Linked DNA regions of Mus musculus: region 1 is reported to be linked to region 2. The links are microRNA targets in miRTarBase. Many come from high-throughput screens and were not tested one by one. Region 2 holds a microRNA gene; the other region holds the end of a gene's coding sequence.

Region 1 (11,192 bases), not on the chromosome of region 2:
CTTCTGTGAAAGGTGTCCTGGGCAGAGCCGAAAACTCTCACTTGGTGAAATACACTAAAGTTTGAAGTGCAAATGCACATCTTTTGGCATATAGAAAGTTGTGAATCCAAATTATCTGCTAAAAGACAAGAAGTAAGGAAAACTCAAGAGCCAAGTACTGATCATGACTTCTTACCATGCAGAAAGTCCTTAAAAAAAAAAAAAAAAGACTTGGGCCTAAGGAAAAGGAATGAAGTGCATTTTAATTCTGTGACCTAAGGACATAAGATTAAGAACATGCAATGTTTAAAAATTCTCTTAAGCTGCATTTACCCCCATTGTTTATTTAGCCTCTCAATCGCCCCAAAATATATTTTATTAATGTGGCACCTCAAGTCCACATTAGCTGCTGTCATCTATGGGCAGTATCTTTTTTTTTTTTAAAGATTTATTTTATGTATATGAGCACACTGTAGCTGTCTTCAGACACACCGAAGAGAGCATCAGATACCATTACAGATGGTTGTGAGCCACCATGTGGTTGCTGGGAATTGAACTCAGGACCTCTGAAAGTGCAGCCAGTGCTCTTAACCATTGAGCCATCTCTCCAGTCCTAAGTGAATTTTTCTTATCCTTGCATAACCAGCACTTTGTAAGGGTTGAGCACATAGTAAGTACCCAATAGATACTTAAGTAACAGGATTTGTATATAAAAGTCTTGAAATGTTCAATTTGACTGAAAGTCAGTTGAGATAAAGTTGTGTAAAAAGCAATGAAATAGGTTTCTAAGATTCTGGGAGCGAAAGGATATGGATTTTGCTTACAAAGTAAGTGTGGTAAATTGTTAAGTATAGATGGGAGCTAATTTCACCTTCCTTCCTTTTATGATTAGGGATTATGATGCAGATGTCCCCCGAGAGTAAACATTTCATTTGTGTGTGCACACATACGTAATTCAAGTGTACTTGCCTGCATGGGCACACAAAGAGGACAAAGGTTAGACAAAGGTTCATGTGGCAATGTTTTCAGTTGATGCTCCACCTTATTTTTTGAGATATAGGCTTTTCTTTCTGAATCTGGAGTTTAACTGATTGGGAAACCTCCAAGATCAGCCCTTTTTCTATCTCCCCAGAGGTAGTATTACAGGCAAATATGACAGACACCCACTTTCTATGGGTTTAAGGGTCCTGCAGGCAGGTCATTATGCTTGGGCAGCAAGTGCTTTTAGTGACTGAATTTTTCCATGGTCCCCAAAATCTTTTTTAGAATAGTGCTTTTAGTTGAGATCTGTAACACTGTCTCTTAGATGGCTAGACTAACTTCAGTGTTTTTACATAACTCAGATGTTGGAAATTTCAAGTTACTTTAAGAAAATGCTAGGTAGCCTAGCTTGGTGGCACATGCCTTTACAGCACTCAAGAGGAAGAGCAGGTGTTTTTATTATCACTGAACTTCATTACAAATTTTATAGACCAGGAGATCTATATTTCCAAGACCATCCATGTACGTATTCTGTTCTACCCATTATATCCCAAAACCATTTATTTGACACAGTGAGGTCTCATTAATTCAAGAGTAATACAGGTGTGGGAACAAAGACATTTAACTTCAAAAAGTCTGCCTACTGCTCATTTCCCTAAATGCTCTTGACACAAGCCATCTTCCTAATTATTTGAAAAAAACCTAACCAAGGCACAGGTGTTCTTAACACAGATCTAGGTTCTGACCGCCCGAGCAGTCAAGCACAGGAATTTGGCTATGAAACTCAACTCGGAGACAGACTGGGAGAGAGAACACAAGCCTTCTGTGTTTCTGAGGTTGGTTCTTAAGCATCCCAAGGGCCTGGTGTGTGATGACCAACACGTAACAAAGCATCAATAGCTGTGAAAGCCCAAGATGTCTCCTTACCTTCCGGGATGCTAAAAGGAGCCACAGACACACTACAAGGGACTACTCTGATTTCCTCGCTCTTCCAGTGTTGTTAGATGGTTAGGAAACTGGTGAAGGTGAAAACACAACAGAGATGAGCTATCATGTTTTCATATTTTTCCTTAAGTTCTGAAATACTCTGTCCTGACTTATGGCCAAGTTTCCTCAATTTACTCTTTCCCAGTCTGTGGTGACCTTCCCATAACTGTATAAGGCAACTATTTGAAGGCCTTTACCCATGTTACATTCAGATGTTAGATCTCCAGATTCATCAAAAACTACAAGATTTTTAATTTCACTTTTAATTATCTTTTACTTAATAATAAAATGAAAAATAATATATGAATACATACAATCTATATACACATATTTATTGCAAATACTTAAAATTCTCATTAAAATGATTTTTCCTTATTTGTGAAAAAATATGACTTATTAAATGGCATTGACACCAACTTCTCTGTACATACCCTCAATTCCAATGGTAACAATTCCTTTAAAAAGGCAAAAGACAAAAATTTAGCATTTACCAAACCAGTCTGTACAAACCTTATCACCAGAGAGGGAAAAATAGCTTGTGCTAAATAAGTCAATATTCTTTTAAAATAAAAAATAAAAGCCCCAAATCATTCCCATTATTGCATTTTTTTTTTTCCGGGAAATAATCTGTTTTTAGAGCAACTCCTTTGAAATAATTTGTGCCTTAACAGTGAGACCCTACCATTAAACATAGTATACATGAGAAATTCAGTCCTCCACTGTCACTTTTTTACATAGATATTAAAATATATATTACTTAAAATATATTACTGGAAAGTTATTTTTAAATTGATCTTCAATAGTTGTATCAAATGTAAAGCATTAAAAAAAATAAAGTAACCAAGACTCTATGAAGCTACTGCTTCAACTTTAGGAAATGTCTACCTACTGCTTTGTTCAATAGGTATATAGGTATTGAAACACAGAGGAAAAGGTCCCTGCCTATCATGTTTTGCAAAGTCTCTTTGGACTGTTCTATAAATTGAGCTGCAGACTACCCATGGCCAAGTCCAGCACTTAGCACACACTGTTGTAAAGCAACAAGAAACTTCTTCTCCTTGTTCAGTGCTCATGGACAATCTCTAAAATAAATCGCAGAACAATGAGTAATGGAAAGCCTGCTCATAACAAACCATTTAACCCAAGAGCTCATGAAACTTTAAGAGGAGGAAAGCAGCATAGAGCAATCAGAATGGTAACTGAAGGGACCGTTCTATGTAGGACAACACACCTTCACCCGGAAGGCAGTGAGGTCTATTAATGTACATCTGAGATAGGCTCGCAAATATTCCCATTTCTATACCCATAGAAATGTAGCCTTCCCCTCTCAAGAAAAGCTCCCTCACTTGCCAGATCTTACTCAGAAATCTCACACAGAACATGGGAGATAGCTTCAGTGTCTTGAACACAGGACTTAAGGAACCAAGGCCAAACAACTCCAGGTTATTTGTGCTGCTCCCCCACCCCCATATTACTGAGCTAAAGAATGGTGATTATTCAAAAAGCAAAACAAAAAGTCCTTATGATTCAGAGAGTGTTCTACTTAGGCAACTCAGAACACTTAAAAATAACACTGAGATGACACAATATGAATACTATCCCAGCGATTTACAGAGACTACTTTGAGGGCTGGATGGGGCACAGCCCCATCAGGTATCAGATATATTTAATACCTCACTGAAAATTGCCACCCAAAGCCCAAAGAATAAGCTTAGCACTTATTCAATCAGTTCAGAGTTGAGTTAAAGGTAAAAGAAATGATAGGCCATGACAAAATCTGTGTTAATAGTTACTGGAGTGACAAACTCAAAGGGCCAGACTAGTTTATTTTCTGTTCATTTATAAGATGAATGTTCGTCTTCCATCTGAAAGCATGTTTTAACACAAATAGACTAGATGGATTCTTATTTAATATATTTTCAATCTAAAAAAATTGTTGGTAAATGCTGCTTTTGGAATACTTTTAAATGGAAATTAGTTGGGTATTACTTAGTGGAGAAGAACAGTACTTCAGACTTACATAGCCTGAGGAGATCAAGAAGAGTAACAATGTAATTTCCTCTTTAAATGGACCTGACAGTCCCTAATGTCTTCCTCTTTTCCATCCATTCTGAGATTAAGGGAAGTATGGAGCAAAAGCCTTTCTAGAAAGCAAGGTAGGAAATAGGAAAATTATTCTAATACAAACTACTCACTGACACCATAAAGTCTATTCCGTCATTCACCCTCTTAAAGCAGGGTAGACAAGGGAGACTACTCAGCTATGGGTCTTTTAAGGTCCCATGGGGACTACCCATTGTCCTGAAGGTTTGGGAGCAGAATCCTGGCTTGTATTTTTTTTTTTTTTTTTTGGCTCTTTCAAGACAGGGTTTCTCTGTATAAACCTGGCTGTCCTGGAACTCACTCTATGGATCAGGCTGGTCTCAAACTCAAAAATCCGCCTGCCTCTGCCTCCCAAGTGCTGGGATCAAAGGTGTGCGCCACCACCGCCCGGCCTGGCTTGTATTTCTTACTGGTCCTTCACTTCAGAACATACACACTTCTTAACCATGAATCCTTGAAGCCTTTCTTCTCCCTTATCTATGCATTTCTTGAAATAAAGGGGGAAGGTGGAAGGATATCACATTGTCTTGACTAGTGCTGTATACAGAATTTAAACTGTAATTGCTTAGGTCCACAATAGCAGGGAGGAAAAATGAAGGGTGAGCTTCATAGTTTGGAGCAGGGACTGAGGAAGCATTCCCAGTGTTTGATGCAAAAAGGTAGGGTGGTCAGGGGAGGGCATCACAAGGCAGGCAAAATACCTTACTGTCTCCTTTCTCCAATCTGGAAGGTGATATAATTAGCAAGTTAAATTGTTCTGAGTTTTATAAATAGCTTTTGAAATACACCTATACTGGGTTGCAATATTACACCACATACTTCAAATTAGGAGACTTGAAACCAAACAATACAGACTATATAATACTAAATTTTGGTGAACTATTTTTCTTTAAACCATCTCTAACTTAAACAGTATTTCTTTAAAAATTCGTAGCTAGCTTTTGTTTTTTAAAAAAGACAAGTGTTTCACTGTGTACTCTGGAACTTGCTATGCAAACCATACTGGTCCTAACCCAGAGATTCACCTGCCTCTTCCTCCCAAGTGCTGAGATTAAAGGCGTGTCACCCACCATGTCCACCAACTAGTTTTTCTTTTCTCTCTTTTTTAAAAAAAGATTTCTTTATGTATATGAGTACACTGTCACTGTCTTCAGACACACTAGAAGAGGGCATCAGATCCCATTACAGATGGTTGTGAGCCACCATGCGGTTGCTGGGAATTGAACTCAGGATCTCTAGAAGAGCAGTCAGTGCTCGTAACCACTGAGCCATCTCTCCAGCTCCTTGTGTGTGTGTGGTTTTTTTTTACTTCTTTTATTTATTTAGGGTTTTTGTGATTATTTTTGTTTTGAGACAAGGCTTCTTAGATAGCCCTGGTTGTCTGGAGCTCATTATGAAGATCAGGCTGGCCTTGAACTCAGAGACTGGTCTGTCTCTGTCTCTGGAGTACTGGGAGGATTAAAAAAAAATCAAAAGGAAAGAAAAACAGCAAAATCTCACAGCCATATATTCCATTAGTCACTCACAAGACCCTTTCACAGTAAGCATCCCAGCTGTCCTGACAGCCGAGATTGTAGAATCACTTTCTAAAACAGCAAACTGTGTACTTGTGTGTGGGTGCAAAATTTATTATAGTAGGATGGCACAGGGTAGCTGCATTCATCTCTTATGCTCTGGATGCCAAAGCATAAGTATCACTTAAGACCCTTTCTACCTAAAAATGGATTGAGAGAATAGGAAAAGACTATTTTCTGTCCCATGTTAAAACCACTCTTCCAAATTCCGTGAAGTTTCAGTTTCTTCAATTTCATCCCTTTTCCAACATTACACAGTATGCGCACATGCGCGCGCGCGCACACACACACACACCCACCCGTAAAGTGTTTATTGGTGGGAGCCCATGATTGATGCAATGTTGTGATGTATTATTGCTGAACTACTGCCACGTATATACTAATCTAACTCAGCAGTCCCTTAGAAACAGAACCTCTTAACAGCAGAGCTCTGCTTTTAACAACAGTACTGATTCATGGAAGCCAAAAGCTAAGCCAGGGCTGTCAGGGTCAAAAACACTGTCTGTGCTGTTAATACCTTTTGAAAATTTCACTGAAAATAGTTCCACCTAAAGTAAAGGGATGAGCAAACCCCGAATTAAATCCCACAAAGGCCATCTTCTTCGTGAAGAACCTGAGCCAGTCTGTGAAGACATAATCAGCACTATGATCGCTCCCTCACTTTCCTTTTCATAGCCTGGGGAAAGGTCAGAGGCAGACAGCTTCCTTTCACCATGCATACCGTTCAACTTTTCTCAGTCAAAAGAAATGGAACATAAATCTGAATGTGAAGTTAATACATCATTACCTAAATACTTTGAAAAAAATGTTAAAACAAAATGTGACATATTTACATGATTTTGTAAGTGCAAACTTTGTCACCAATTCAGTCCTATTTGACTCAGACCTACTATACAAGGTGCTCTTCCTGTAAATGTGAAGACCTGCATTCTGTATTCCTGATTAATGTCTCTTGAGACAACTGAAACTTTATTTCTGTGATTTAAAAAGGGTGCAAGAACATGACTTTTTAAGCCTTCCCTTCCCTCCTTTACATACGCTACAGTCTTATTACCGAACAACAAGGCAGGAGACACAGAGTTTGGAGGGGCCAATGCAATCATCATGGCAGAAAGCTCCACATCCTTTGCACATGATCATGGCTTTCAACCGGCAGTAACATTTTGATGGTGTGTCCTCGATACTATTGTCATCAGGAAAAGTCTGAACAGGAATTGTCTGGCCATGGCTGCTGGGATTCATTGCTTGACTGGCAGGGATGGTAGTGACAGTCACTGAAAACGACATGACGTCCCCTACATTGCTAGATACCTGGCTGCCTGGTATAGCAGAGTTATGGTCCATGTCTGATGAGGTGGAGACATTGATCATGCCTCTATAGCTTGGCCCTATCTGTGTGGGGCTTCCATACAATTTGGGGGTTTGCAGTGGTGGAAGGAGTAGAGGCTGATGTGTGGGACTGTCTGCGGGAAGAGAAAGAGCAGTAGAATTGAAAAGCTCAGGGCTGCTACACACTGTCTTACCTCTCACAGCATGAGTCATCTGTTTATGTGCTGCCGGAATAAAATCTCTAGGCAGGCTCTTTTCATCAGATGCTTGGCCTCTAGAGAATATGTAATTCTCCTGGCCTAAAGTGGTTTGCTCACTCACTGGTGCCTCAGTCTTACCATTCTTGCTAGCTAAACAATCATTGGTAGATGAAGCTTCCCCATGGTGCGGATGCCTGCCAGAACTCTGGGAAGCCCATGGCTCCTCCTTCACTGAAATAGGCTCCTGTTCATCACCTACGCGATCTTCATCACTTTCATCTTCTTTGCTGCTGATTTCTCCAGTTGTGTTTTTATAATCTGCATGCCCCATTCTCAACGCCTCAGTGGGGCTACTTAGACAAAATCGATCATCAGGATTTACAGAATGGGTCCTTTTAATGTTCTCTGTACCCCTGCCATAGGTGGAAATATTAAGTAAATAGTGACCTGCCATTGCAGGCTTGGATGTCCTTCTGCCAGCAAAACCCAGCATGAACTTCTGACTTGTGGAGATGTCTTCCAAGTGGAAACCTGAGTGAGCAAAGTTGAACTGAGAGGGCGGTACAAATGAAAGAACACTCTGTCTCTGAGCCCTCTGGATAAGAGTCTGAAAGAGCTGATCTTGCGTTGTTTTACTTAGACCTTCTCGGTACTGGTGAGTGTCAATGCAGGGGTCCTTCCGGTCCTTAGCAGTGAAAACTGGCCTTGGAACCTGGGAAAGCTGTTTACTTTGCAAGGGTTTCCCCAACTGCGGGATAGCCAGATGGGCCTGCCTGCCATTAACTTCCTCTCTGCTGCTACTTTCCATTACACTGATACCAGGGAATATCCCTATGCCTTTTTCCTCTTTTGTAGTCAGTGGAACTGTTTTCATTTCAATTTTGGTGAGAGGCTTAGGCAGAATTTGCTCCAAGGGAACATCTTTGCCCTGGAGCAGCTGAGTAACTAAAGGATTATTAGCAGGGATACTAGAACTTGTTCTTGAAATGGGTCCATTCATATTTGCAGAAGTTCCTGGGGTTTTAAGGCTAGAAGCTGCTGGCAAAGTGCTTGAGGATGGAGCTGATCCAGTAGATGTTGCAGTTCCACTGATCTGGGGTACAGGGAGTTTTTCTAAACTGGCTGTTGTCACAGGAGAGGAAGTCATATCTAGTGGAGCAGGAGCAGTTGTCTTTGCTAAGGCTGAAGGCTTTGGTGCATTCTTATTAGAACCTGCTTTGGGCTCAACTGTGCCATCAGCTACAAAATAAACAGTTGAGGCTCCTGAGATCAGAGGAGGCCCTGTTGGAGACAGAGCTTTTTCAAGTCTGCAACTCCTAGGGTCTTGCAAGTGGCAAGGAGAGGCTGCTGTGGCTGTTGCCTTGTGGAGGTTTGGTTTTTCACTGTTTGATATTTCTATGTGGGCTGGTAATGGGACACTTGTGCATGCTCCACTGCTGGCAAGTCCCGTAGGCACTGAGGAGGTTTGCTGTAGTTGTGCTCCAGAGATACCAGGAGGCTGTGCTTGGCCTGGCATATTGGTCTCAGGTTGAGGACCACAGGGTAAAAGTTCTCTCGTACCTCCCCTGCTTCCAGTTCCGGCCAGTTCCAGTGTGGGACCTTTTCCATTTGTACTGACTGGGTCTGAGCCTGCACTTCCTCCTCCAGCAATTTTCCTTTCACCACCCTCTCTTGGACTTTGTCCACCCCCAGGGCCAGGTCCCGGAATGGTCCCTCCAACTGAGGCGGCTGCAGCAGCTGCAGCAGCTGCTGCGGCTGCTGCCTTTTGTGCTTTGACCAACTGGGCTTTTGCTTTGATGTCTGCCAGAGTTCTGGCTCCTGTTCTGTAAGGACTAGTGATGGAGATTGGAAAACGAGCCCTGGGAGAGACCTGTGATGTAGAAAACAGCATCGGGGAGATTCTGGAGACAGGGATCTAAAAAAAGTAAGGGATGGGGGAAGGCAGAGGTCAATTTTCAGCTGTAAGACTAGAGCAGATAACTAACACAAAGCACCCATGGCACATATGGCTGCTCTACAACTAACAACACACATTGTGTCTAAGGTTCAACCTTAATCTATCCACCCATATCAAGGTCCATGCATATATTGTCTGCCAGTCATTTTCAACCCTGGTGAATTCTATACTCGATTTTAAAAATGTATGTGGTTTTGGGTTCCAGCCTCTAGCTTACAGATCAGAACGGCTAGAAAAATATGTATTATACTAAAGAAAAAATTGTGAAAACCTACTAAATTTCAAAAAATTTTTTTTTCTTTTTTTGAGACAGGGTCTCATTATGTAGTTTTGGCTGTCTTGGAACTCACAATGTAGATCAGACTGGCTTTTAAGTCACAGATCCCTCTGCCTCCTCTATTAAAGACAAAAGCATGTGCCACTACATCTACTCTGAAATCACTTATTTTTATAACATTAAAAAAAAAAAAACAGATTGTTGTCTTAAGTTAAGGAATATGCATCCAGATACGATGCCTTTCAGTATTTGGTGGAATCAAAAGAAGCAAAAAATCGTTAATATTATAGAGTATTTAATTAAAAAAATTAAGTGATCAATTATAAGAAAAGCATGTCATCTTTCTATAAATTCCTCAATTATAAATTTTAATATTGCTATTTTTCATAATTCAAAAAGTATTAAGAAATCAACTCCCTATACCTGAGAAATCCGTTCTAAAATCATAGGTAGCATTATTTACTCAGCACATAATGGTTAGAAGCTGTGGGGATAAGAAAAGCAGCAACTGGCCGGGCGTGGTGGCCATGCCTTTAATCCCAGCACTTGGGAGGCAGAGGCAGGCAGATTTCTGAGTTCAAGGCCAGCCTGGTCTACAGAGTGAGTTCCAGGACACAGAGAAACCCAGTCTCGAAAAACCAAAAACCAAAAAAAAAAAAAAAAAAAAAAAAAAAAAGAAGAAGAAGAAGAAGAAAGAAAGTAGCAACTGCTACTTCTTGTTAATAGAGAGAAGAGACTATAAGACAAAATAGATAAAACTGTTAAATAAAACACAGGAAATTTGTTTGGAGAAAAACAACCTTATAATGATACAAGCCAAATATCCAAGTATAAGGCCATTCAGAGGTCCAACCTATGTGTTAGTTCAAGGCTGGCCTGGTCTACAGAGTGAGTTCCAGGACAACCAAAGCTACACAGAGAAACTCTGACTTAAGAAACAAAACAAAAAGTCTGGTGGTGGTGGTGCACGCCTTTAATCCCAGCACTTGGGAGGCAGAGGCAGGCGGATTTCTGAGTTTGAGGCCAGCTTGGTTTACAGAGTGAGTCCCAGGACATCCAGGGCTATACAGAGAAACCCTGTCTTGAAAAACAAAACAAAACAAAAATAAACCAAAAACAAACAAACAAAAAAAAAAACAAGATAGAAACAAAACAAAAAAGTAAAAGGACCTAATAACTGTTTGTTTATCCTATAACCACTTAGTAAGTTTTATTGTTATGCCACCCACCACAGAATGCTTGTATTTTTTTGTTTGTTTGGTTTCGGTTGTTTTGTTCTTTTTAGAGAGGATTTCTGTTTTAGCTTTGGCTGGAATGGTATTCTTTTTGTAGAGCAGGCTGGCCTCAAATTTAGAGATGTGCTGGCCTTGGCCTCCCGAGTGGGAATGTTAGGAGTGTGTATATATGTATGCACATGAAACACACAAACATACTCCCTCTCTCTTTTATGTGTGAACAAAGATCATGCTTATATACACCAAGGTGGTCCTCAAACTTGTGACCCTCCCAAGTGCAGGGATTTCAGTTATATCACCATGCCAGGCTCATAAAAATACTACTTGAGGGTTTTCACCCTACCCAGGATAATACAAGATGACTTAAAAGTCACCAGTATAAACATATTGAAATTAAAAAAGGACAAAGCAGTTAGATGTTTTTATATGTTTAAGTTTCAATTACTTTCTGTCTTCATGAAGCAGTAATGAAATGTAATATTTTGCTTTTAAGAATATAAACGAGCTGGGCAGTGGTGTGGCATGCCCGGAATCCCAACTCTGAAAGGCATAGGCATAGGCTTAGGCTTA
Region 2 (11,192 bases):
AGGCTAGTCTCGGCTACGTGGTGTGGGCTGCAAGAGATCTTGTCATAAAACACCCTCCCCTGCAAACCCTCACCCTCAATATAAAAGCAACTCTAGAGGAGAATAATTTTTTCCTTTAAGTTTTATTGCATTCTGATGAGAAAAGATACATAATTTCAATTTACCTGAATTTGTTACATATTTTGAGTAAATAGACTTACATCACATTCTTCTTTCCCTTTTGTACCCCAACTCCTCCCAGAGAGTCCCCCCTTTCAAAACCTGCAATACCTTTTGTTTTTTATCATATTCTTTAAAATTTATAAAATAAGCTGGGCGTGGTAGCACACGCCTTTAATCCCAGCACTCGGGAGGCAGAGGCAGTTCCAGGACAGCCAGGGCTATACAGAGAAACCCTAACTCAAAAAAAAACAAAACAAACAAACAAAAATATATATACATATAATATTGTAACAATAACAATGAGTATTATAAAAGTTGTGTGATATAACACAACAATCAATTGAACAGTCTTATGCAGATGTTTGTCTACAGCAATACTGAAAATACATATGTTTTTCTCGGTATAAATTTTAAATAACTCCAAATATATTAACTGTATGATATTTTAAAATAATATATCACTATTAGTTTTTTAAAAATCAACACAAATAGATCAAGTGAGCATAATTCTTATTATTCTGACACTAAGTCATTGAGTCTCATGGTCTCTGTAAAATGGTGTTGCTCTGGGGATCAAAAGAATCAAGGGATAAAAACTAGTCAATAGCCAGGGGTGGTGGAACATGTGTATAAAGGCAACATTAGAAGGCTGAGGCAGGAGGACTGCTGAGTTTGATGTCAGCCAGGACTGCAGTGAGGCTGCAAGGAGTACATCTCAACAACAACAACAACAACAACAACAACAACACAACAACACAAGACAATACTAATGAACTATTAAGTGACAATCAGTGTATACATACAGACTTATTGCTTCCATTTTAAAGTGAAAAAAATCCTTAAGAAATATTTTACTGAGCATTGGGGTTCCAGCCCAATCAATGGAATGGAAGGACATTAACTTCTACTTATCCTGTGCCTGATTTCAGTCTCATGGGGTGCAGAACGAAACAACCAAATTTACACATTGGGTAGTAAGGCTATGCGATTTTGCCCACACCACACATTCAGATTCTGATCTGTCAGACACACAGCCATACTGGATCTCAAGGGCATCCCTACCAGACCGTCGCTCCCGACCGCACTCCGGCAAAGGCTGCGTCACGTCCTGGACCTGCTTTTTCTCAACCTTTCCCTTCCCAACCTTTCGCACTGCCACATCTCACCTGGACCCCGCGACACCCCTCACCCGCCGCTTCTTCAACCGGAGAGCCCCCTGCTGAAAAGGAAGGAAGAAAACAATAGGGCAGGATACGCGCCAAACAACGAGATGGTTTTCAAGCTAGCGGAGGAACCGGCCAATCCGCGGCAGGCTGAGACGGAGACCCGCCTCAGCGCCAGGCGTCGCGCTCGCGGAGCCCGCAATTCCCTGTTCAAACCTCAACGGCTGCCAGGAGGCCAATCGCGACAGAGGCTGGAGAAGCCAACCAATCACAGCCCCGGGGGCGGGGCAAGCGGGCGAGGGGCGTGGCCCCGAGTCTGCGCTTTCCCGGCATCTCTACCGTAGTCGGCTAAGCATGGTCACCCGTTGTCTCTCCGCGGGCCGCCTAAAGCAGTCCAGCTTTTAACCATGTGGCGCCCGGCCCTGTACACTCCGGGAATATACTGCCCCAGCAAAACTCAGCTTGCCGTAGCGCCAGGCTCCCGTCCTCCACTTCCCTCACAGTTGAGGACGCGCAAGGGACAGGAGAGAGCTTATTTTAACGGAATTTCGGTTTGGGGGCGTCCTTTCCTGCGACAACAAACACCGCAGCGGTTCCATTCTTCCAGGGGCTAAACCGGAAGTATTTGACTGGACGCGCCTCACAGGCCGGAACTTGGAGGGCGGGGCTTGTGGCTGTGCGAGCCACCTTGGGATGACTCCCTAAGCTACCTGGGTAAGGCCCAAAATGGCTCCTCTTACTGTCACTACCGTGTGAGTCCCGCCTGGGACTGTAATCTGTGTCTTGGCTTTGGAATTCACACCCGCTCCCCATTTTTCCGGCTGGTTTGCTGCCCCTACTGAGGCGGACAGGCTAGAGTAATGGCAGGGAGTGTCCCTTGGGCGGCAAGTAGGAGACTGTGGGGCTGGGTGCCCTCGGCATGCCGAAGCTTCTCTCTGGGTAAGTGGCTTAAGTGTAGTAGGACGGCCGGCTAACGGCTTGTCACTGGGCAGTGCTGATTCATGCTTCTGTCCTTCCCTAGGCGTCCCACGGTTGGCCTTCGTAAGGCTCACTCTTCCACCTCCCAAAGTGGTTGATCGCTGGAACGAGAAGAGGGCTCTGTTTGGCGTCTACGACAACATTGGAATCCTGGGTAGGACGCGATTCCTGGTTTCTGAAGGATTAGTATGCTCTCTTGACTCTTTCGGTTTTATTTGTGGAGAGAATAGTAATGTGCCCGGGGCAAGCCTGGGGGCACAAACCTGTTACACGGGAGATGAAGCCAGGCAAGACCAGTCTGAGATGCGGAGAATAGTGAGGAGTGCGGGACTCAGTCTCACTAACACAGTAGTGGGCAGGTCTGAGGGCCAAAGCGAGTAAATGGGAGTGTCAGTATTTGAACCCAGACATTTCTGGCTGCAAAGTCTTTACTCCTTTCTTTCTTTCTTCTTTTTTAAATAAGATTTTTGTGTTTTCTGAATGTGTACCGTGTACTGCTCAAGCAATGCCTGCAGGTTCAGGGTGACTTCCTAGAACTTCCCTTTCAGGCAGTCGTGAACCTTCAGTTGAGAGTGCTGGGGAATCCTTTGGAAGAGCAAGTGTTACAAAGACTCTGTCCCTTGTACTAGACTGGTGTGTGCCTTGTCTGTCAGTAGTTCTGATCAGGGAGATGAAACTGTGTTGAAGGCCTAGTTGGGCTAGGCTGACTTCTCTTCTCTTGAAACTAGTATATATTCTGTCACGTTACAGGGAATTTCGAGAAGCACCCAAAAGAACTGATCAAGGGCCCAGTATGGCTTCGAGGCTGGAGAGGAAATGAATTGCAGCGTTGTGTCCGAAAGAAGAAATTTGTGGGAAACAGGATGTTCATTGAGGACCTGCATAACCTTAACAAACGGATCAGCTATCTCTACAAACACTTTAACCGACATGGGAAGTACAGATAGGACGGGAAATGTGTCACCCTGGAGAAGGGGAACAGGACTTATCCCAGCAAGGAGAGAGCTTTGTGTGCTCGATGTAATAAAAAAATGGGGCTCCTTTGGAATCTGATATGCCCAGTGCTACATTTACTCATGCACTCTGACGTCTGCCTCGTTCCTAAGTCACATGATCTTTTGTTACTATTACTTACAGCCCAGTTATGCTTGTGGCCTTTATAACAATCATTTATTGCTGGCACTTTCTGACACTGGCACCTCGTGTAAGTTTTTAAAGAATTTATTTTTATTTATTTTATCTTATTTTTTTGTAATCTTGGAGCTGAAACCCAGGGACTTGCTCATTCTAGGGAACTCTGCCACTAGCCGCCCAGGCCCTTGGAAGTGTAGCTGCTATTTCTAAAGACTCTGCCACCCCAAAATGAACTAGGAAAGTGAAATTACACTTTGTACTGCTCTTATCAGTTATAAGTTAGGGAACTTGTCTGAGTACCACAGCATTTCCCATCCTCTTGAATAGGGCAGTTTTGTGGAGGCTGACCTTGAGTCATGCCCAGTTTTATGAAGTGTTAAAGATCACACCCAGTATTACCCCTGTGTGTGCTACCCTGTTTGCTTTTTTTTTTTTTTTAGGGGAAAAAAATGTCATTTAAGAAAGATATTTTAGGGCTGGTGAGATGGCACTGACTGCTCTTCTGAAGGTCCTGAGTTCAAATCCCAGCAGCCACATGGTGGCTCACAACCACCCATAATGAGATCTGACGCCCTCTTCTGGTGCATCTGAAGTCAGTCACAGTGTACTTATTTTTAATAATAAAAAAGTCTTTGATCATTGGACCAGAGCAAGTGGAGTTGACCAGAGAGAGCAAGGTCAACTGAGGCAGCAGAGGTCCTAAATTCAATTCCCAACAACCACATGAAGCCTCACAACCATCTGTACAGCTACAGTGTACTCACATACATTAAATAAATCTTTTTTTAAAAAGAAAGATATTTTAATACAGGTTTGAGCATCAGGGCTATGAGAGAGGTGTTCAGAGGTAAAACACTTGAGAGCATGAGTGTGGGCTTCCCTGAGAGACTCTTCTATATGGCATAGTGCTGGCGTCTTGGATATACCAAGTACTTTATAGTGAGCTATAGACCCTCTGCTGCACTTTGCTTTTGTTAGTATATATTACAAAAATAATAGGTTTTGCTATGACATTCTTCATTTACTTCTTTTGGTTTTTTGAGATAGGGTTTTCTCTATGTAGCCTTGGCTATCCTGGAACTCAGTATGTAGACCAGGCTAGCCTTGAACTCATGGAGATAATACCTTAGTGTTGGATCTAAGGCTTAAGCCACCACATTTTCCACAGGTTTTTGAATTTATGTTTCAATTGAAATCAATTCAGTGAGAAGTCTGGAGATGACAGAAAGGTAATCCAGGGAATTTTTCTTGCATTTTTTTTTTTTTTTTAAACAGTCTTGGGGCTGGAGAGATGATTCCAGCCATCTCCCAGGGATGCTCTTGCAGGTTGCCCAGGTTAATTCCCAGCTCACACATGGTGACTCAAGGCTGACTATACTTCCAGTTTCTGGGCTTCCCATGGAGACAGGCATGCACATGTGCACAGGCATAGCTGCATGTATTATTGCATGTAAAACATGAAATAATAATAATAAGCCGGGCGGTGGTGGTGCACACCTTTAATCCCAGCACTCAGGAGGCAGAAGCAGGTGGATTTCTGAGTTCGGCTATACAGAGAAATCCTGTCTCGAAAAAACAAAACAAACATAAAAACAAAAACAAACAAACAAACACCAAAAACCTATAGTCTCTCAAAGTCAGGCTCAGGCTGGCCTGGAACTCTTATAGCTCAAACTGGGACCCATCCTCCTGCCTCTACCTCCAGAGTGACAAGATTATATGTGTGAGTCCTTGTATCCAGCTTCAAACTACTGTTTAATCCTCATATTTAGTGGCCATGTCCAAGGCTATATAATACCTACTTCTTTTTATAAAAAAGTATTGCCGGGCGGTGGTGACGCACGCCTTTAAAACCAGCACTTGGGAGACAGAGGCAGGAGGATTTCTGAGTTTGAGGCCAGCCTGGTCTACAGAGTGAGTTCCAGGACAGCCAGAGCTACACAGAGAAACCCTGTCTTGAAAAAAACAAAACAAAACAAAAAAGTATTACAGAGACACACAGGCAAACAAAGCAGAGCTTGGGGATTCTCTTGGAAGAGTGGGGGGAGGGACTGTAGGAGCCAGAGGGGTCAAGGACATCACAAGAAAACCCACAGAATCAACTAACCTGAGCCCTTAGGAGCTCACAGAAACTGAACTGCCCACCAGGGAGCTTGCATGGGACTGAGCTAGGCCCTCCACACATTGTGGTTGGGAGGAGTCCTAACAGCAGGAGTAGGAGCTCTGATTATCCCCTGCTTCTGCTGCCTGCCTTTAGGACCCTTTCCCCACAACCGGCTGCCTTGCCCAGCCCTAATAGAAGAGGTGCCTTGTCTTACTGTACTTGATATGCCATGGCTGGTTGATAGCCACTGAGGCCTGACCTGGGGAGAACAGGGGAGTGGGGATCTGGGTGTGGGGAGGAAAAGTGGCAGGGAGAGACTATGGAGGGAGGGAAGCTGTGGTTGAGAGGGAAGCTGTGGTTGGGATGTAGAATAAAATTTAAAAATGTTAAAAGTATTGCAAATCCAAGAAAATGAATTGCTTGTAGACTCAAGTGAGCTCTGAAGGTAGAAAAATTAGGGTGGTTATCCTATTTGATTTAAATCTAAGTTCTGTGTCAATGATCTTTTATGACGTAACAGTCCATTCTTAAACTCAATGACTAAAACAACTTCAAATCATTTTCTCTGGGTTTTCTTCTTCAGATGGTTAATCTAGTTTGCTGTCACGAGGCCATATTCAGCAGTGGGCTAACACGCCTGAGACATCTTCACTCACATCTACTTAGTCAATTGGTAGTTTGGGTTGTTTTTGTTTTTTTGAGAACCAAATCAGGGCCACTGCAAGAACAGCAAGTGCTTGTAACCTCTGAGCCATCTCTCCACAGCCCCAGCTAAGTTCTTTTGGCACAAGGTCTTATTATTCAGCCTCTCTTGGGCTTGGTTGCTTAGAGACTTGATCCCAAAGGACAAAATTTAAATAACAAGGGTTGATAAAACGAGGCTAAGAAGTCTTGAGGTCTTCAGGCATGGAGGCAAAAACCTTTGAACCCAGGACTGATCCCTGGAGACAGAGGCAGGCCTGGTCTACATATCAAGTTCCAGGCTTGGCTACACAGTGAAATCCCATCTTTAAAAAAAAAAAAAAGAAAAGAAAAAACAAAAAAGCCATGAAGCGCGGTGGTCACCCCTTTAATCCCAGCACTTGGGTAGCAGAGGCAGGTGTTTCTCTATAAGCTCAAGGTCAGCTTAGTCTACAGAACAAGTTTCAGCACAGCCAAGGCTACACACACACACACACACACACACACACACACACACACACACACACACACAAACCCTGTCTTGAGAAACCAAAGAGGAGGGGGAAAGGTAGAAAAGGAAGAGGAAAATGTTTTAATACAATCTCACAAGTGTTAGTGAAGAAGGAACTAACAAGTCAGCCCCAGAAGCCCGTATAAAATTCTTCCTGCTGTCAGTTACAAAAAGTCTTATTTTTCAAGCACAGAGCTGGATTGTTTTTGTAATGAAAAAGAATGCAACATTTCCCTTCAACAAACACTGAATCATTGTGTGGAAGGACCTTGGAGGCATATACACCACAAACCAAGGCTACACCACTGCCTGTAAAAAGATTTCATCCGTCAGGTACAGGGTGCGTATGTAAACAAGATGCATATCTGAATTCGGTAATTGCGTGGGAAAAATATTGTTGCAGCATGAGTTTTTGTTTTTAGGTTTATCCATTTACTGTGTACACAGTGTTCTGCCTACACGTAGGCCTGCACACCAGAAGAGAGCACCAGATCTCATTATAGATGATTATGAGTCACCATGTGGCTCCTGGTAATTGAATTTAGGATCTCTGGTAGAGCAGCTCTTAACCACTGAGCCAGCTTTCCAGTCCCACATGAGGTTTTTGTTTTTGTTTTGTTTGTTTGTTTTTAAAAGGGGGTGAGAAAATTGTGTGTGCACATGCATGCACGTGTGTGTGTGTGTGTGTGTGTGTGTGTGTGTGTGTGTGTGTGTGTGTGTGTGTGTGACTGTGGATTGAAGTGCTTGAAGTAGGTCTTGGAAAGGGTCAGTGCTAGGAATTCAATGGGAAATGACTATATAGACACAGGCAGGAAGGAGTCCCTAACCAACCCCAGGGGAGCAGGTAGAGGGCAGGGAAGGCTTCCTGTAGGTGATCAGATCACCACTAATTTATCCTAAAGGAATGTTAAAAGTGGGGAGGGGGTGCAGAGGGAGGTAACAATTTTTTTTTTTTCAGGCAAATGATGCAGAGCAAAATGGCACAGATGTGAGAAATAGCATGGAGCCAGCACACAGCAAGGCTACAAGTAGTATTTGTTAGTGGAACTACTTTGTGTGCCTAAAGATAAGCTGAGAAGTTAAGAGTCAGAGCACGAGGAAACCTACATTTAGTAAAATGATCTAGCCACTTTGGGAAATCCACAGCTGCCCAAAAAGCTAAACACAGAGTTACGTATGGATCGGTAATGTCACTCAGAGGTGTCACCCAAGAGAATGGAAGCGTGTCTGTTCCACAAGAGCAGAAAGGGCCATGCTAGTGCAGGCCATTATGGTGGCCACAAGAGGAACCCAACCAAACCAATGCCTACCTGCTAGCAGAGCCCCGTGGGCCAGGTGCCTAGGAGGTAGAGCAGGAGGATCAGGAGTTCCAGGCCTTCTTCAGATACATAGTGAGTCTGAAGGACGCCTGAGTTTGGTCCCTGGAACTAATTAATCCCTCATGGAAGAAGGAGAGAACCAACTCTTGCAAACTGATCTCATTTCCATATGTGCATGCCTGCCCCCCAAATAAATTAATGTTTTAAAAGGACAAATGTCCAGCAATTGATTTAAAAAAAAAAGTAACCAAGATTTTGAACAGTTGTACAGTGAATTATTATTCAATTACTAAAGGAATGAAGTACCCATACATGCCACATTCAGATGAATATTTAAAACATGTTAGATGGGCAGGCAGTGGTGGTGCATGCCTTTAATCCCAGCACTTGGGAGGCAGAGGCAGGTGGATCTCTGAATTCAAGGCCAGCCTGGTCTACAGAGTGAGTTCCAGGACAGCCAGGAACACACAGCTACACAGAGCCTGTCTTGAAAACAAAAAGCAAAAAACAAAAACAAACAAACACCATGTTAGATCAAAGAATCAGTCATAAAGTGCCAAATCCTATATGATTCTGTCTCACTGAAATGTGGGGAATAGACATGTCTACAGAAGCAGACCTGGTTTAGTTGCTGCTCCTTGGGTGGAATAAGGGCTGGGGAGTGGCTTTAGCCCATACCGGGTTCTCTGGGGATTGTGTGGAGACACGATGGACGTGGTAAATGCTAGTCAGAGAGCACAGGGTTTCCGAACAGCCGGAAATCAGTTAATAGAAACAGATTATAACACTGGTGTAGCAGAAATTTATCTGGCATGAATTCCCGAGTGATAACATATAGGCTTTTGTAAATAAATAGTCAGTGCTTGTTATCTGAGGTGTTCTGAGTGGTCCTTCCAGAGGATGCACAGAGCCTTTGCATAACTTAGTCCTGAGACATACTTGGCAAACTAGGAAGCCTTGTTTGGCTGAGAATTGCTTAGGTAATGGTTCCTTCAGACAGCTCCTAGGTCAGAGGGGGTTTTGATATTCAGAAATTGGCTTGGTAATAGTTCCTTTTGTGTAGGAATAAAGAGGCTTCTGCAGTGATTAGGAATTCAGCCCATCAGAGGCTGAAGAAGCCATAATAAATCCTGTAGTTGATCCTCATAGCCACATTACTCAAAACACTGACATTCTTGAAAGTGGCGGGGTTTTTTTGTTTTTTGTTTTTTTGTTTTTTCGAGACAGGGTTTCTCTGTGTAGCCCTGGCTATCCTGGAACTCACTTTGTAGACCAAGCTGGCCTCTAACTCAGAAATCTGCCTGCCTCTGCTTCCCAAGTGCTGGGATTAAAGGAGTGTGCCACCATGCCTGGCTTGGTTTTTTTTTTTTTTTTTTTTGGTTTTTCGAGACAGGGTTTCTCTGTATAGTCCTGGCTGTCCTGGAACTCACTTTGTAGACCAGGCTGGCCTCGAACTCAGAAATCTGCCTGCCTCTGCCTCCCAAGTGCTGGGATTAAAGGCATGCGCCACCACGCTGGGCTTTTTTGTTTTGTTTTGTTTTTAAGGAGAGTGTCTCATGTGGCCCAGGTTGACTCTGAACTCACAATGTAGTCCAGGCTAGCCTTAAACTCCAGATCCCCTTTTCTCTGCTTCCCAGGTGCTGGGATTACACAGGTCTGCCACCATACCTGATTGCTAAGACAATATTTTATATTCTAACAACAAATAACAAAAACAAAACAAGCAAACTAAAAGGTTAGGTTGGGCTGTAGATGTTGCTTAAATGATAAACTGCTTCCTTAGCATGCAGGAAACTCTGAGTCCATTCTGCCATACTGAGTTAATTGGACACGATGGTACACACCAGCAGTGCAGCTCTCAGGAGGTTCCAGGGCATCCTTGGGGACACTGTCTCAATATTAATATACATATATGAATTCATAAACATAATCCTGTCCAAAAGTTTGACTGCACAGACACACAATAAATAAATGATTGTAATTTAAAAATTAAATATATATATATAGTTCCTAGTTGGTGGAAGTGTTTTGAGAAAGGTTAGGAGATGTGGCCTTGTTGGAGGAGTGTCGTTGGGGGTGGGCTTTGAGGTTTCAAAAGCCCATGGCAGGCCCGGAATCTGTCTCTTTCTTTCTACCTGCTACCTGTAGATGAGATGTAAGTTATAACTACTGCTCCAGTGCCTTGCCTGCAGGCTGCCATCCTCCCTGCTAAGGGTCAAGCATTCAACCTCTGAGATTGTAAGCACTCTCCCAATTAAATGGTTTTTTTTTTGTTGGTGGTGTTTTTATTTTGTTTTGTTTTGTTTTTGTTTTGCTTTGGCCATGAAGAGAAACATGAGACATTGTTGTGGTAAATTTCCCAAATATGCCCCAGCAATGAAAACAACACAGCTCATATGTTTACACGCTGTGCGCCTAGATTGGGCAGATCTACCGCTACACTACCTTAATCTTCCACATCTATGAGACCCCTTAAAACTTGCAGGTTCTCCAGGCCTTGTGCTTCTGCTCTGCTTTTCTCCTTCTTCCTCCTTCTCTGCATCCTCTCCCTCTTCTGCTTTCTCCTTCTTCTCTTCCTCTCACCTTCCACTCCACCTTCCCTTTTATCTGCCCAATCATCAGCTCTCCTTTATTTTACGAATTAAGGTGGGAAGCAGGTTTACAGGAAATCACTTGAGTGCTGACTCATTCCTTGTTCTCAACCACTCATAGGAGAATTGAATTAACATCAAATATAATTAGCCCCAGGGCTATCCACAACACTTTCCCCTTTCTGTCCAATTAAAAGACTGTTTATCTCAGATATAATTGAACATAACTATTATTATTTTGTAACTTATAAAGTACAAGAGACCTAACACCCAGTCCATCATGTTTGTTAATTAAACAGAACCTTTGTCATCTATCCTTACTTAAAAGACTTATAATTCTACATCTGGCTATGTCTTGGCTTTAGATTGAATGCCATCTGAACACCATCCTCTCAAAACTGTCCTCTCAAAGTAAAAAGCCTGGGTTGGCTAGGAGACTATGCAGTTTTTCAACCCCACCAGAAATCCAAGAATGACTGATATTAACTGAAAATATATAGAAAACCTAAAACAGCTTCCAAAACGTAGCCAATCCATAGAGACCGCTGA

Evidence for each region. The annotated mature microRNA mmu-miR-3098-5p reads UCCUAACAGCAGGAGUAGGAGC and lies in region 2 at 5,638-5,659, shown strand. An mRNA with a match to its seed (bases 2 to 7 or 8) in the 3' UTR can be bound and repressed. Matches are read on the target gene's strand: a 7mer-m8 pairs with bases 2 to 8, a 7mer-A1 pairs with bases 2 to 7 and ends in A, and an 8mer does both.
Region 1: the mRNA of Asxl2 is a reported target of mmu-miR-3098-5p. Seed matches in the 3' UTR shown: 7mer-A1 at 5,057-5,063.

What each region holds. Positions count from the first base shown.
Region 1 is chr12:3,497,855-3,509,046 of GRCm38, reverse strand. It overlaps Asxl2 (additional sex combs like 2, transcriptional regulator), which reads right to left. Exons shown (of 13, transcript NM_001270988.1): 13 at 2,195-9,068. The coding sequence ends at 6,675. Among named protein-coding and RNA genes, the nearest start is that of Dtnb, 69 kb to the left of the region's middle.
Region 2 is chr6:125,190,170-125,201,361 of GRCm38, forward strand. It overlaps Mir3098 (microRNA 3098), which reads left to right and starts at 5,623; the gene lies at 5,623-5,709. It overlaps Gm52878 (a long non-coding RNA gene), which reads left to right and starts at 6,565. Exons shown (of 2, transcript XR_003956366.1): 1 at 6,565-7,073; 2 at 7,692-10,327. Ncapd2 (non-SMC condensin I complex, subunit D2) reads right to left here and starts at 1,417. Exons shown (of 32, transcript NM_146171.1): 1 at 1,329-1,417. It overlaps Mrpl51 (mitochondrial ribosomal protein L51), which reads left to right and starts at 2,031. Exons shown (of 3, transcript NM_025595.3): 1 at 2,031-2,264; 2 at 2,347-2,457; 3 at 3,054-4,223. The coding sequence starts at 2,186. The coding sequence ends at 3,250.